Linked DNA regions of Alligator mississippiensis. The main gene of each other region encodes a partner of the protein of the gene in region 2 in a complex. Links are inferred from orthologs where the notes say so. Each region holds a gene or a part of one and is shown on either strand. Other genes may lie near its edges. The genes, in order: HERPUD1, FAM8A1 and UBE2J1.

Region 1 (3,747 bases), on a different chromosome or scaffold from region 2:
ACTGCCATATCAATTATGAACCACAATCAAAACAAACAATATTTCTAGAATTGTTTTGTTCCTAAAACACCTTGAGAGGTGGCCTGCATATGGAACAATGGCAATAGTGTCATTTGTTTTGAGAAAGTGAACTCTTTAAATATGTAGGAGCTTAAGGCCATAGTGCAGAAAACGGAGTAAAAAGCACTCATAATAGCAGCAGTTCCACCATTCTGGGAAACCAAACTTTTTATTTTTTTTTTTAAACACATGACATGTTTTAAGTCCTGTTCCAACAGGAAGCGATGAAGAACTACAGCTCCTCTCAGTAGATGTTGCAAAGTTACATTATGGTATAAAATCTTTGTGCTTGTATATATTTGGAAGTTTTACTGCTTTAACTATACTGGTTAAAGCAATATGCTAGTGGTTACATATACTAGCATAATTAAAGCAATAACCTGTCTAGTACAGGCAGAGCCACAGCAGTATGAAGGCTTTATAATACTATAGTTTAGGTCACTACATGTAAAGTGTAACAGCCTCTAAAGCATATGATGAACAGATTTAGCCAACGAATGCTAACTGTAAGTAAAAGCAGAAAGATCACAAGATCAGTTTTTACAAAGCCTTCCCCGATCACATTTAAAAACAAAAAATAATTGCTTGTCTTAATTTTAAAAGGTTCAATTTTTTAAAGTGTGTATCAATTTGCCATTTGATAAATGCTGTCTCAAATACTAGACAGAGGCTACCAGCATGGGGTGATGGCGATGCAAGTTGCCTTGAAGTGCTAGGACAATACATGTTTATCAAATACAAAGCCACATCTTTTTCAGTTGTTTTCTGCCACAGATGACACAAAAACAAAAACAGTCTATTGTTTGCTCATGACTTCAAGGATGTAATTTTTTTGCCTTTGAGATTATAAATCGCTAGTGTTAATCACACCAGCAAACCCTCATACAGAAACTGAGATCTGTGTCATAGTTTAAGCACACTTAAAAAAAAAAAAAGTGTATTAAGTTTGGTTTATTTCCAGTTTCTTCCTCCAGAGGCTTTTTAAGTTTTATTACTGATGAATATTTGGGCAACAATCCAGGAAGAGCCTAAAAGATGCCACCCCATTTAATTGTTGACAGATTCTCTTTCTTTATACGAATGAGACTTGATTATCATGGAAAACATACACATTCAAGACAACCGCTCCCTTTGCAAACAGCACAGCCCTCATGACCAAGCTCACTGGCTCAACCAGGGAAAGAGGAACTACAACAGTTGTACGGTACTAAATGTCTTTCCTCGTCAGTAGGTCAAGTATTACCCTGACCACCAGGTCAAGACAGACCACTAACCAGGCTGGACACAACATGCAATGGCCGTAACCTGGTTCAAGATGTTTCAGCTCCAAAACAAGCCATTACAAATGCTTACTCCAAATATGTAGCTGTTGTCTCACCCCTAGTACTAGCATAACAGCTACCCTATGAAGCAATGCTGCCCCTGCATTTACATGACGTGGGTCAACCTTTTTTCAGAAATAATTCTGCTTTGAAGTCATAAATCCCAAATTTGCAGAGTGTGTCCACACCCAGAAAAGCAAAAGTAGACTGATGTATTAATTTAACATACCATTGAACTGGTTTCTTGCACTTCTAAATGGCTCTTAGAGTTGTACACCAGGTGAAGAACACACAACTTCTCCTGCTAAAAACAGAAATCAAGGCATTAAAACGATAACATATTCCTATGTCATTTAATTTGTGCAACTATCAGAAGCAAGCAATTGCCATACCATAGGCAATACATCTCTCAGATAAAGATGATCAGGCAGCAACTTCCCCAAATAAATCAACTTCTGGTCCTCTTCAGGCTTTGAAAGAAGACAAAAAATATGTTGGGTTACTATTCTCTCAAATGCATGCAAATGCTGAGCAGCCAGGCATGACAGCAGCTGGCATACCAAAAAAGAAACAACAAAAAACACACCCAGCATAAATACATCCAAATCCTTTGAACACAATTCTCTTTTGTTTTTAGCATGGGATGATGCAACCAAACCCGCTGATTATTTATGTGCAAAATTGATGTCAGAGATTCAGAAACTCGCACAGAAACATAGCAACTCCTACAAAACAGGAATGAGTTGTCCGTCCATCGGGTGGGCCAGAAACCTGACAGGAGGACTTTCTCTTCCGTCTGAGGAGCAGAGGGATCCCGTGTGCCCGCAGCTTTCCCAGCCGCAGCAAAGGGATTCGCACCTTGTCTTCTGCCCGCCCCTTTCCCAGAAGCCCAGCACGGACGCACAGGCTTCAACGCCCAAAGTCCTCCCCTGCTGAGCACCGACACCCCTCGGCCACACGGACGAGCCGGCGCCCCGCCACGCCCGGCTCAAACCTCCACAAACCCCAGGAAAACCCGCTGCAGCACTTCAAGTAACCGGGGCCGCCCGGCCCCGGCCCCGGCCCCGGCCCCTCCCTCCCTCACCGGCGCCTCGGGAAGCAGGCGGCGCAGCCGGGCCTTGAGCTGCCGCACGGTGCCGGCGGGCTCGGCGCGCAGGCTCAGGTCCGGGTGCCGCCCCGCGGGGCTCCGCACCAGCAACGACGCAGGTTCCTCCATGGCCGCTCTCCGCCTCGCGCCCGCGCTCCCCGTGGCGCCGCCTTTTATCTCCTCGCCGCCTCGCGCCCCGCCCCCTGCGCCAGCCGGGACGCGGTGGCTGCCACTGATTGGCCGCGGAAAGAGAGCGTGTCACTAGATGGCCTATCAGAAGCGACATCCGGCTACAGAGTGACAGGGGCGGGGCTGACCCGTGTCAGGAGGCAGGAGGTGGCGGGGCGGGAGCGGGGGGTGCTGTGCGGGGTGTCCCGGGCTGGGGCAGCGCCGTGCCGCTCCTAGCTTGTTTCCTCAGGAGCAGGCACGGGATCGGGCGGCTGCAAAGTGTGGGGTTTCCTGCTTCGCAGCCCCCGGCAGCTGAGAGGGAAATGCTTTGGAGCAGTGGGTCTAAGCACAAAAGGGCCTGATCGCTCAGCCCCTGGCTCTGTGACACTGAATTATAAGACTATAGTAATACAATTAGAAGTCAAATAGCTGGGAGAAAAGAATTGGGTTCTAAGTAAATTATTTCTCTACTAATGATCTAATTGAGTATGGCCGTAGCACCACGATATGTGTCCCGTTGGAATACGTATTGTGTGAACATAAAGAGACCACCCTTGTTCAAAGATGGTAGGCTAAGACAAGAGACAATGGGAAAACGAATAAATAGTTGCAAAGGGAATCCTGAAAATTCAGAGGCAAAGATTAGCTGTCTCCAATATGCTCTGACCCTGAAAAATAGCTGAACAAGGCTCTGACTGCTTCCAGGTTGGATATATTACAAGTTGAGAAAAATCGCCCCTCCAAAGAACAGATCAGATCGGATCTGTACATCAGTGTGAGACACCCCCCCCACCCATTAATAAGCTTTCTTATATTAGGAATATGGAAACACTTTCTGAAATTGTATTGAAACTCTTATATTGTTAAATCAAAGACAACAGGTGATATTCCATTTCAGAACTGTTTCCTGTTTAAGGCACAGTTAATTTTTATATCTGTTCTTACAGACAGTGTTTGGTGATAACAGAATGTTATAAGTCTTGAGTTAGCCTTTAACACTAAATACTAATTATTCAGCTTCCGTGGACCTGTAGTAAATGCAAGATATTCCTTTTAGAAAAAGAAGTATCCCAATTGCTATGGAGTAGAAATCTTGAGCTTTTACTGGAG
Region 2 (3,747 bases):
CCTAGCAGACCTCACCCACCGGCTACAGCTCCTTGGAAGCAGCGGAGGCTCCAGAGAAGAGCGTCAGGACCCCTCAGTGCCTGAGCCTCAAGTGGATCACAGCACACCCGGAGGGTCTGTGAGCATCTGCCCAGCAGCGCTCCATCCCCCAGGGCAAGTGAGTGGCCTTCAGCGTGCCCCTGCCAGCTTCACATATTTGCAAATTTGGCTGGAGAATCAAAACCTCCATGTAGTGACGCAGCCACTGGGGCTCTCCAAGGCCACCTGCAGGGTGTTTGGAAAGATCCCCAAGGGTGGACTCCCAACCCCTCCTCAGGCAGGAAGCCTGTGGGTAATGAAGCCATTACCACTGAGCATGGCCTTGTGGTACAACAGGATTACTCCAAGTATGGCACTGCGGGATTACCCCTTGGCCTGCTACGGTATTACCCGCCAGGGGAGACATGCAAATCAAACTCTGGGCAGACGAGCGCCACCTGAGGCAGCATGGGTTGCAAGCTGCCGCCCGCCCCTCCCCCGCCCATATTTGGTAACCCCGGGCCGGTTGCCATGACAGCAGCCCTGAAGCAAGGGCGTCACCGTGCCACGAACCGAGCTGCGCCACACCGATCGTCCTGGCAACGGAAGCCCCGCCCCCCGCGGCCTAGCTCCTCCCCGCCACTGCTTGTGCTCCATCCAGCCTCGGGCTGGCGTGACAGGACGATACCGTATCCGTGGGGGCGGGGGGCGATATCCTCTCGCGCTGGAGCGGTGTTGCCTCCCCCCGCACCTCCTCACTCAGTTGGTCGCTCCTGCTCTTACCCCCTCCCACCTGGCAGGTGGGTGAAGCGGAGCGAGGTTGTCGGCCTGCGCATGCGCAGTGGAGGAGGGGCGTGTGGAGGGAGCGGACGGGGGCCATGGCGGAGCCGGAGCCCGCGGCCATGGCCGCGGCAGGGGCTGAGGTGGAGGAGGAAGGGGGCGCGGGGAGCAGCCCGGGCACAGGCCCGCCGCCGCCCCCGAGCGCGGCGGAGTACGCGCGGCGCGTGCACCAGTGGCTGTGGGACTCGTACTGCGGCTACGTGAGCTGGCACAGCGGCCTGCCCGCCCTCATGGCCGCCGCCGCTGCCGCCGCGGGCACCGCGCCCTGCAGCGCGGGCCCCGCCGCAGCCGCCGCTGCCGCCGCCGCCTACTACAGCCCCTTCTACGTGCTGCCAGCGCCTGGCCCGGCCCGCCTCACCCCGCTGCCCCGGCCCGGCCCCGCCGCCCCGCCCCGCGCCAGCAGCGCCCCGCGCGATAGCGCCCGCCCGGCAGGTGAGCCGCGCCTCGGGTGGACGGGACCGCCCCTGCGCACTTCTGTCAGCCCCCAGCCTAGTAGATCACAATGAGGGGGCCCTTGGAGCAGGCCCCAGGGGGCAGAGCGCACCCCAGGAAGCTGAGCGGCCCAGAGCAGGGATTGTCTGCTCTGCCCCACGCTGCCCTGAGGTCCTTGCGGGGGTGCCGTGCGCTGTTAGCGCCATGCACGTGAGTCACAAGACGGACCTGGAGATTTCTGCCAGGCGTCCCTGGTGTCAGCACCATTTTGCTGCGCAGCACCGGAACGGCTCTAGTGCTTTTCTGTAGTCAAAAAATGGTGAGTTGGCATTTTTGAGGGGGCCCTGAATCTTTGCAGGGCTCCTTTGGGTCTTGAACAGGCAACACCCGCCGTTCTAGAGTGACCCCCATGCTGCAGATCAGTAATTTCTCTTTGGACCTGCATGGCAGGTCAAGGGGACAAAACCAGCGAAAATGAGTGAAATCTAATTGCTTCCAGATTTTACTTTTTCCCCCCAGTTGTGAGCTCTGAACAGATATGCGCTTGGTTTAAAAGGAATAAGGGAAGTCGTACTCTGAAGTTTAGATCACTTAAGAACAAATGCTGTTAATTGTCCCAGAATGTGGTATGAACAAGGTTTAGTAAAATCACTCTTGGACAGTCATGCACATCTTCAGATAATAGTAGATCAAGCCACTATGCCAAGGACACTAGGGAATTGACTGCCTGCTAATACGTTTCAGTGGAATGGGAATGTTTCTTTGCTCACCGAGGATAGCGATGGAAAACAGCTTTCCTGATGAGAGAAGAGCATTTCCACTGCAGTGTAGGCAGCTCTCCTCAAAGGAGAGTGTGTAGCACAATTAATTGTACAGTCCGGATGGGTGAATGTAGGAAATCAATAGCTTTGTGCAGTAGCTGTTTGGCATGGGATACAAGAAGATTGCACCCTGTAGTCAGCATAACTTTGGCTATCCAGCATGGACTCAGTTTTGCCAGCAAAGTGTTATCAGAACCCTTGGGTGTCAAATACACAGCCTGTAGGCTGGATCTGCCTGTGGAGCTATCATCTGACCCCTGGTGCTGCCTATGGGGCTTGGAGTGACCGACAGGCAGCGTGCAGAGCACACTGGGTGGCCTGTTCCAGCTCATATCCTGGAGCAGGTGCTGCGGGCAGCGCAGCACTGTGGGGTTCTGGGGCCACGTTGCATGCAGTCCCGTACCTGCTCAGCTCCAGGGCCATGCTGCACAGCTCCGGAGTTGCTGGAGCAGAGCCATGCTACACACAGGACCCACTCCAGATCCAGAATGCGGGGCTGGTCTGTGGGTTCTGCCTGGCCTGTGGACTGGCCCCATGGGGCCAGATTAGTGTCTACACCGGGTGTGTAAAACTCGAGTTAAGGCAGTAGCAGTCCCATGATAGAGTCTGCGCCATAGATGAATGAATCTTAGTGGTTTTAGAATTGGGCACAAGTTCTTTGGAGGCACTTGTCCACAACTTTTTTGAATGTGGAGGCATCCCCAGTTGAGAACCACTGAACTATTGCAATCTGTTTTGTATGGACAGTGCTTAGAAGAGGCATAGAGGGACCATGAAAAAACCTTCCTGCGTTGAAAGGGGGAGGTGGACATTGAAGAGTTAAAAGACACGCTGTGCAGTCTTTTATTTTTCTGAAAGCCACTATAGTGATCTTTGACCAATTAAAAAAAATCCTTATTAAATCTGAATTAATGTGTCTCTAAGCAATGCCTGTTTAGACGGTGAGCTAATTGTATCTGTTTAGAGTTTATGCAGTTATTTTAATGTTTCAGTGACAGATGGAGATTCATACAGAAGTCAGTTATGCTGCATGGCTCCTCCAGACTGAAAGTTGCTACCTCAGCAGTAAGAATACTCTGTGTACAGGCAGTCAGGGAAAGCCGCAGCACCTGCATTAGGGCTCTCTGATCAGCCTGAAGCATACAGGATAGCTGGCTTGTGCTACAGCGTGTCCTGGTGCAACTCTGCATGGCATCTCCTGGAAACAGAGGCATTTTGGGCAAGTGGAAGTGTCCTGCCTGTCTTTGTTTCTGGGAGGAGCATGCAGGGGGTAGACTGGGAAGGGCTGTAGCACAAACCAGCTCTCCTTCCCACTTTAGGCTGATCAGAGAGCCCCCCAATGCAGGCAGGATTGCTTGCAGGTGCTGCAGGTACTTGGAACACTGTCATGGCACCCCTTAGGGGGCCTTGGGCCACCTGAGTTGAGAACTACTGCCATAGACTAAGTTGAGACACTGATAAGTCTCAGGTGAATTCTCCCTGTCTCTTTGGGATGCATATCTTCCTCCTTATTTAGTTGTAAGTCTCTGTAGCATCAAATTTGAGTGTAATTTTATTGTGACTGTAGTCACAATAATACTTTAGTTTGTTTCGTACTGAATAAATAGCCTCACTTTGGAACTTTATGATTTGTAAC
Region 3 (3,747 bases), on a different chromosome or scaffold from region 2:
GTCTTCAAATACCTGAAGGGCAATTACAGAGGAGATGGAGATGGGCTTTTTTCTCTGGCTGTAGGGGACAGGACAGGGAACAGTGGCCTGCAGCTTCGTCAACGGAAACTCAGGCTTGTTTTTTTTTTTTTTTAAGGAAAATTTTTCATGTCCCAAGTCAAATCAGCCAAATCATTTCCAAATCTGTGAGTCATTCAAGAACCATATGTAACCCTATTACTGGCAAACATCCTCCACCCCTACCCCAGGCTTCGGATGCTTCCAAATCCTTTGGCAGCCGTCCTATGGGCAGGCCCAAGCCAAGAGGCTTGGGGTTCGGATGTCCCCGGGTTTCCCTCGCCCTCAGCCGTAGGGCCACAGGAGCAAGCTAGCGAGTTTTTTTGAAAAATATCTATTTATCTATATGAGGTTATATCTATATCTACACTCCAAGTATTACTCCACAAAGAAAACCATAACCTGTTACCAAAGCCGCACCCGCGCAGCCTGCACAAAGGCCCGCAGGACACACACACACACACACACACACGTGTATCTCCTTCAACAGGGAAAAGGTAGGCTGGAGAGAACTAGGAGGGAGTTTCGGACTACGAGGGCAGTCAGGCGCAGGGACAAGCTCCCTAAAAAGGTGGTGCAATCTGCATCCTTGGACATTTTCAAGAGCAGCTTGGACAGACCCCCGTCCGGGAGGGCTTAACCAGGAATGAACGGGACGTGAACTCCATGGCGCAGCCGGGCCTCTTCCCGCCCTGCTTTCCCTGCCGCAACCGCAGCTCCCCAGGCACGTGTTGAGGCAGGAGGCGGGAAGGACCCCCGCCGGGGCAGCAAAGGCCAGACCTACCCCGCCAGACCGCCGCGCTCCGTCCGCGGGGCCGGGGCCCTGCTAGCTCGCAAACTTTCACTCGGTTTTGGACGCAAAGCCGGGGCCAAGGCCCAGCAGCTATGCCCGAGCCAGGCCTGTCCTCGCCCCCCCGCGCCAGGGGAGGGCCGGGCTAGGCCGAGGGGCGGGCGAATCGGCGCCTCCCCCGCCCCGCCCCGCCCCGCCCACTGGCCTCAGTCACAGAGGAGCCGCCGCCGCCGCCGCCGCCGCCACGTCAGGAGGCTCAGCCGGCTTCGCCCGCCCCTTCTCTTCCCTTCCCTTCTCGCGGCGCCGCCGGGCCATGGAGACCCGCTACAACCTCAAGAGCCCGGGTAAGCGGCCTCTCACCCCCGCTACGCTAGGCTGCTTCTCCCGTCCGGCGGCGGCGGCTCCTTGGCACTCGAGGCCGCGGTTTGGCGCCGGGCGCAGGCCCTGGCCTGGACCCCCGGCCGGCTGGCCCTGTCCGCGCCTGCGCGAGGCCCGGGGCAGCTTCCAGGCAGGGCAGGGCATTGCCCCCCAGGGGCAGGAGCTGGGGGCGGCTAAGCTCACATCTGCGGGGGGGAGGGGCGGGCAGGGGAGGGACGGGACTGAGCTGCCCTGGCCTAACCCTGGAGCCCGGGGCATCCATCGGCGTCTCCCTTCAAGCCGCTGGGGCTCCGGCTGGCCAGGCCCCAGGCAGCCTCTGTCAGACTGAGGGCGCCCCACCCGCGGGGGGGTGGGAAACGTCAGCGCTTCATTCCCCTTTGGTTTTCCTTTCCCGGCTGCTCGGAGGCACGGGAGCGGTTCCCCTCCAGCTGGTGGAATCCGTGGGCAGAGGGTGTCCTCATGCCCGACCTGACATCTCTGGGTGTCTCGGCTGAGTCGCGCTCGAGTGTGTACAGCGCTAACATTGCGTGAGGGCCCCCACCTGCGGCACCCATGAAAGGCTCGAGGGTGCCTTAGGGAGGATCGCTGTTGTTGGTAAATGTGAGGTGGAATGAAGATGGGGAAACGTGGAGTGGGGGTGGGGAGAGTGCTGAATTTTTTTAGGGATGCAACCATCAGAAAACCAGGCCACCATCAATGAAGGCATAAAACGGTTGGAGAGGACAGTCGTTCTCATTAAAGGCCCTGACATGAGCCTAGCATTTGTGGCTGCTGCTAGCCATTGTGTGCGACTTTAAAAACAAGGGATTGTACGTTTGGCTGCAATGTGTAATCTGTTTGGCGACCTGCAGCTAACTCCCACTGTTCCTTGTACGTTGCCAGTCTCCTCCAATTCCTGTCTGAAGCCGCAGTGGTATTGTCAGTGCAAGTGGAGTTGGGCATGACCAATTGGTTGACATGCCTGGCCTTCCCCATGAGCAGTGACTCTTGCACAGAAGAAGAGAGCAGACCTTATGTCTGTAAACAGTGGACCTTTGTTGAGGGGTGTGCTCTCCCCCTGGCATGCAGTAAAAGGAACTATGTTATGTTGTAGACAAGAGAGAGGTAGTTGGTCATGGGAATGTGAAGTTAGGAGGCCCTGCATCTATTAAAAAAAAAAAAAAAAAGACCCACCCGTCTTAAGAGGCTGCTAGCCGGTTGGTCCAATTTGCACTTTATAGACTAAGAACACATTATAGGTGTTCCTCACTTGTGTGACCCAGGCTGCACTAGAATGCAGTCAGTTGTTTGGAGTAATTTAATTTTCAGTACTGAAATGTATGGAAATGAAAAGTCGTTTCATAATTTATTTTTATTTTTTTTTAATTTTTTACCTCAGCTTAGAATTTCCTGGCTATTTTCCGTGTTAATTTATTGACACTACATGGGCTTCTGTACATAGTTTGACTTTTGTCAAAAACATTTTGTATATAGCAACACAGTAGTTTCCTCTTATGTGTTCTTTCCCATGTACCATGCTTGCACTGAAATAGATACATTTTGTTAATTTGCTTTTTAAGTACATGTCAAAAAAGCTTATTTCACCAAATGCGTAAGCTTCAGAGTAATACATAGGAATAGTTTATAGTTATAGCAAACACATTAGACATGCCTGATCATTTGAGAAGAGTGCTGGAGGGGACCTTACAGTGTTATCTAGTACAGTCCTCTGCTCAAGGTAGGATAATCCCTGACTACGCCATCCTAGCTAATTTTCTGTCTAACCTGCTCCTGGAAAACCTCCAAGGATGGAGATTCCACAATTTCTTGACCAGTCTCTCAGTCAGGAAGTTCCTTTTAATCTCCAACCTAAATTTTTCTTGCTGAAACTTGAGGACTCTGTTCTCCTTTGAAAGAAGCCCTATCAGGTACAGACATTTGGGAGTGATTTAACCCTGGCTGTTCCCAGGTTATTTTTTTCCAGGAGTGGCCTTTTTTTATTTTTGGTGAAAAGCCTGATCATCTGTACACTTGTGGTTTCTCCTAAGAGAGCAGTGACTCTCCCAGGAGAAACTGAATGTCTGTATGAGGTATGTGGCTTTAGATAAGTTTCTCTACCATGAGAACAAACCTGGGAGTATTCTCCCACTTCCTTTCAATGTATACAGAGCTCTATTATCATCACCCTTCAGGTATTTGAAGTGTTATCAAATTCCCCTCAATTTTTTCCTCTCAAGACTAAATAACCCAACACTAGTTCTTTCAGTGTTTACTTGTAAGTCATGCCTCTCAGGCCTCTAATCATCTTCATTGATATCATATATTTTCATATAGCAACAAATACATTAGAGCTGTGACTTCTCAAAAAAAAAACTTGTAAGTAGAAGGGTCACACAGACAAAAGTACAAGATGATAACTTTTTAAAATAATCAACTTAGGAAATCAGACACACTTAAGTATATTTAGGTTTGGTTTATTGCATATGTCAACTGATGAGGCATGCAAGCACACCCATTTGTTATGGCTTGCCACGTCACTGGAA

Evidence for each region.
Region 1: FAM8A1 (region 2) and HERPUD1 share a complex: the UniProt entries of both Homo sapiens proteins name them as parts of the HRD1 complex. The link is inferred for Alligator mississippiensis from reciprocal best matches to the Homo sapiens genes FAM8A1 and HERPUD1.
Region 3: FAM8A1 (region 2) and UBE2J1 share a complex: the UniProt entries of both Homo sapiens proteins name them as parts of the HRD1 complex. The link is inferred for Alligator mississippiensis from reciprocal best matches to the Homo sapiens genes FAM8A1 and UBE2J1.

The regions. Positions count from the first base shown.
Region 1 is NC_081833.1:36,703,339-36,707,085, reverse strand, and holds the start of HERPUD1 (homocysteine-responsive endoplasmic reticulum-resident ubiquitin-like domain member 1 protein), read right to left. Parts: upstream 2,627-3,747; 5' UTR 2,599-2,626; coding exon 2,467-2,598; intron 2,259-2,466; exon of another isoform or gene 2,023-2,258; coding exon of another isoform or gene 1,969-2,022; intron 1,853-1,968; coding exon 1,775-1,852; intron 1,687-1,774; coding exon 1,612-1,686; intron 1-1,611. UniProt on the Homo sapiens protein: Component of the endoplasmic reticulum quality control (ERQC) system also called ER-associated degradation (ERAD) involved in ubiquitin-dependent degradation of misfolded endoplasmic reticulum proteins.
Region 2 is NC_081826.1:130,847,133-130,850,879, forward strand, and holds the start of FAM8A1 (protein FAM8A1), read left to right. Parts: upstream 1-881; 5' UTR 882-896; coding exon 897-1,290; intron 1,291-3,747. UniProt on the Homo sapiens protein: Plays a role in the assembly of the HRD1 complex, a complex involved in the ubiquitin-proteasome-dependent process of ER-associated degradation (ERAD).
Region 3 is NC_081824.1:76,994,452-76,998,198, reverse strand, and holds the start of UBE2J1 (ubiquitin-conjugating enzyme E2 J1), read left to right. Parts: upstream 1-1,056; 5' UTR 1,057-1,160; coding exon 1,161-1,191; intron 1,192-3,747. UniProt on the Homo sapiens protein: Catalyzes the covalent attachment of ubiquitin to other proteins. Functions in the selective degradation of misfolded membrane proteins from the endoplasmic reticulum (ERAD) and is essential for cells to recover from ER stress.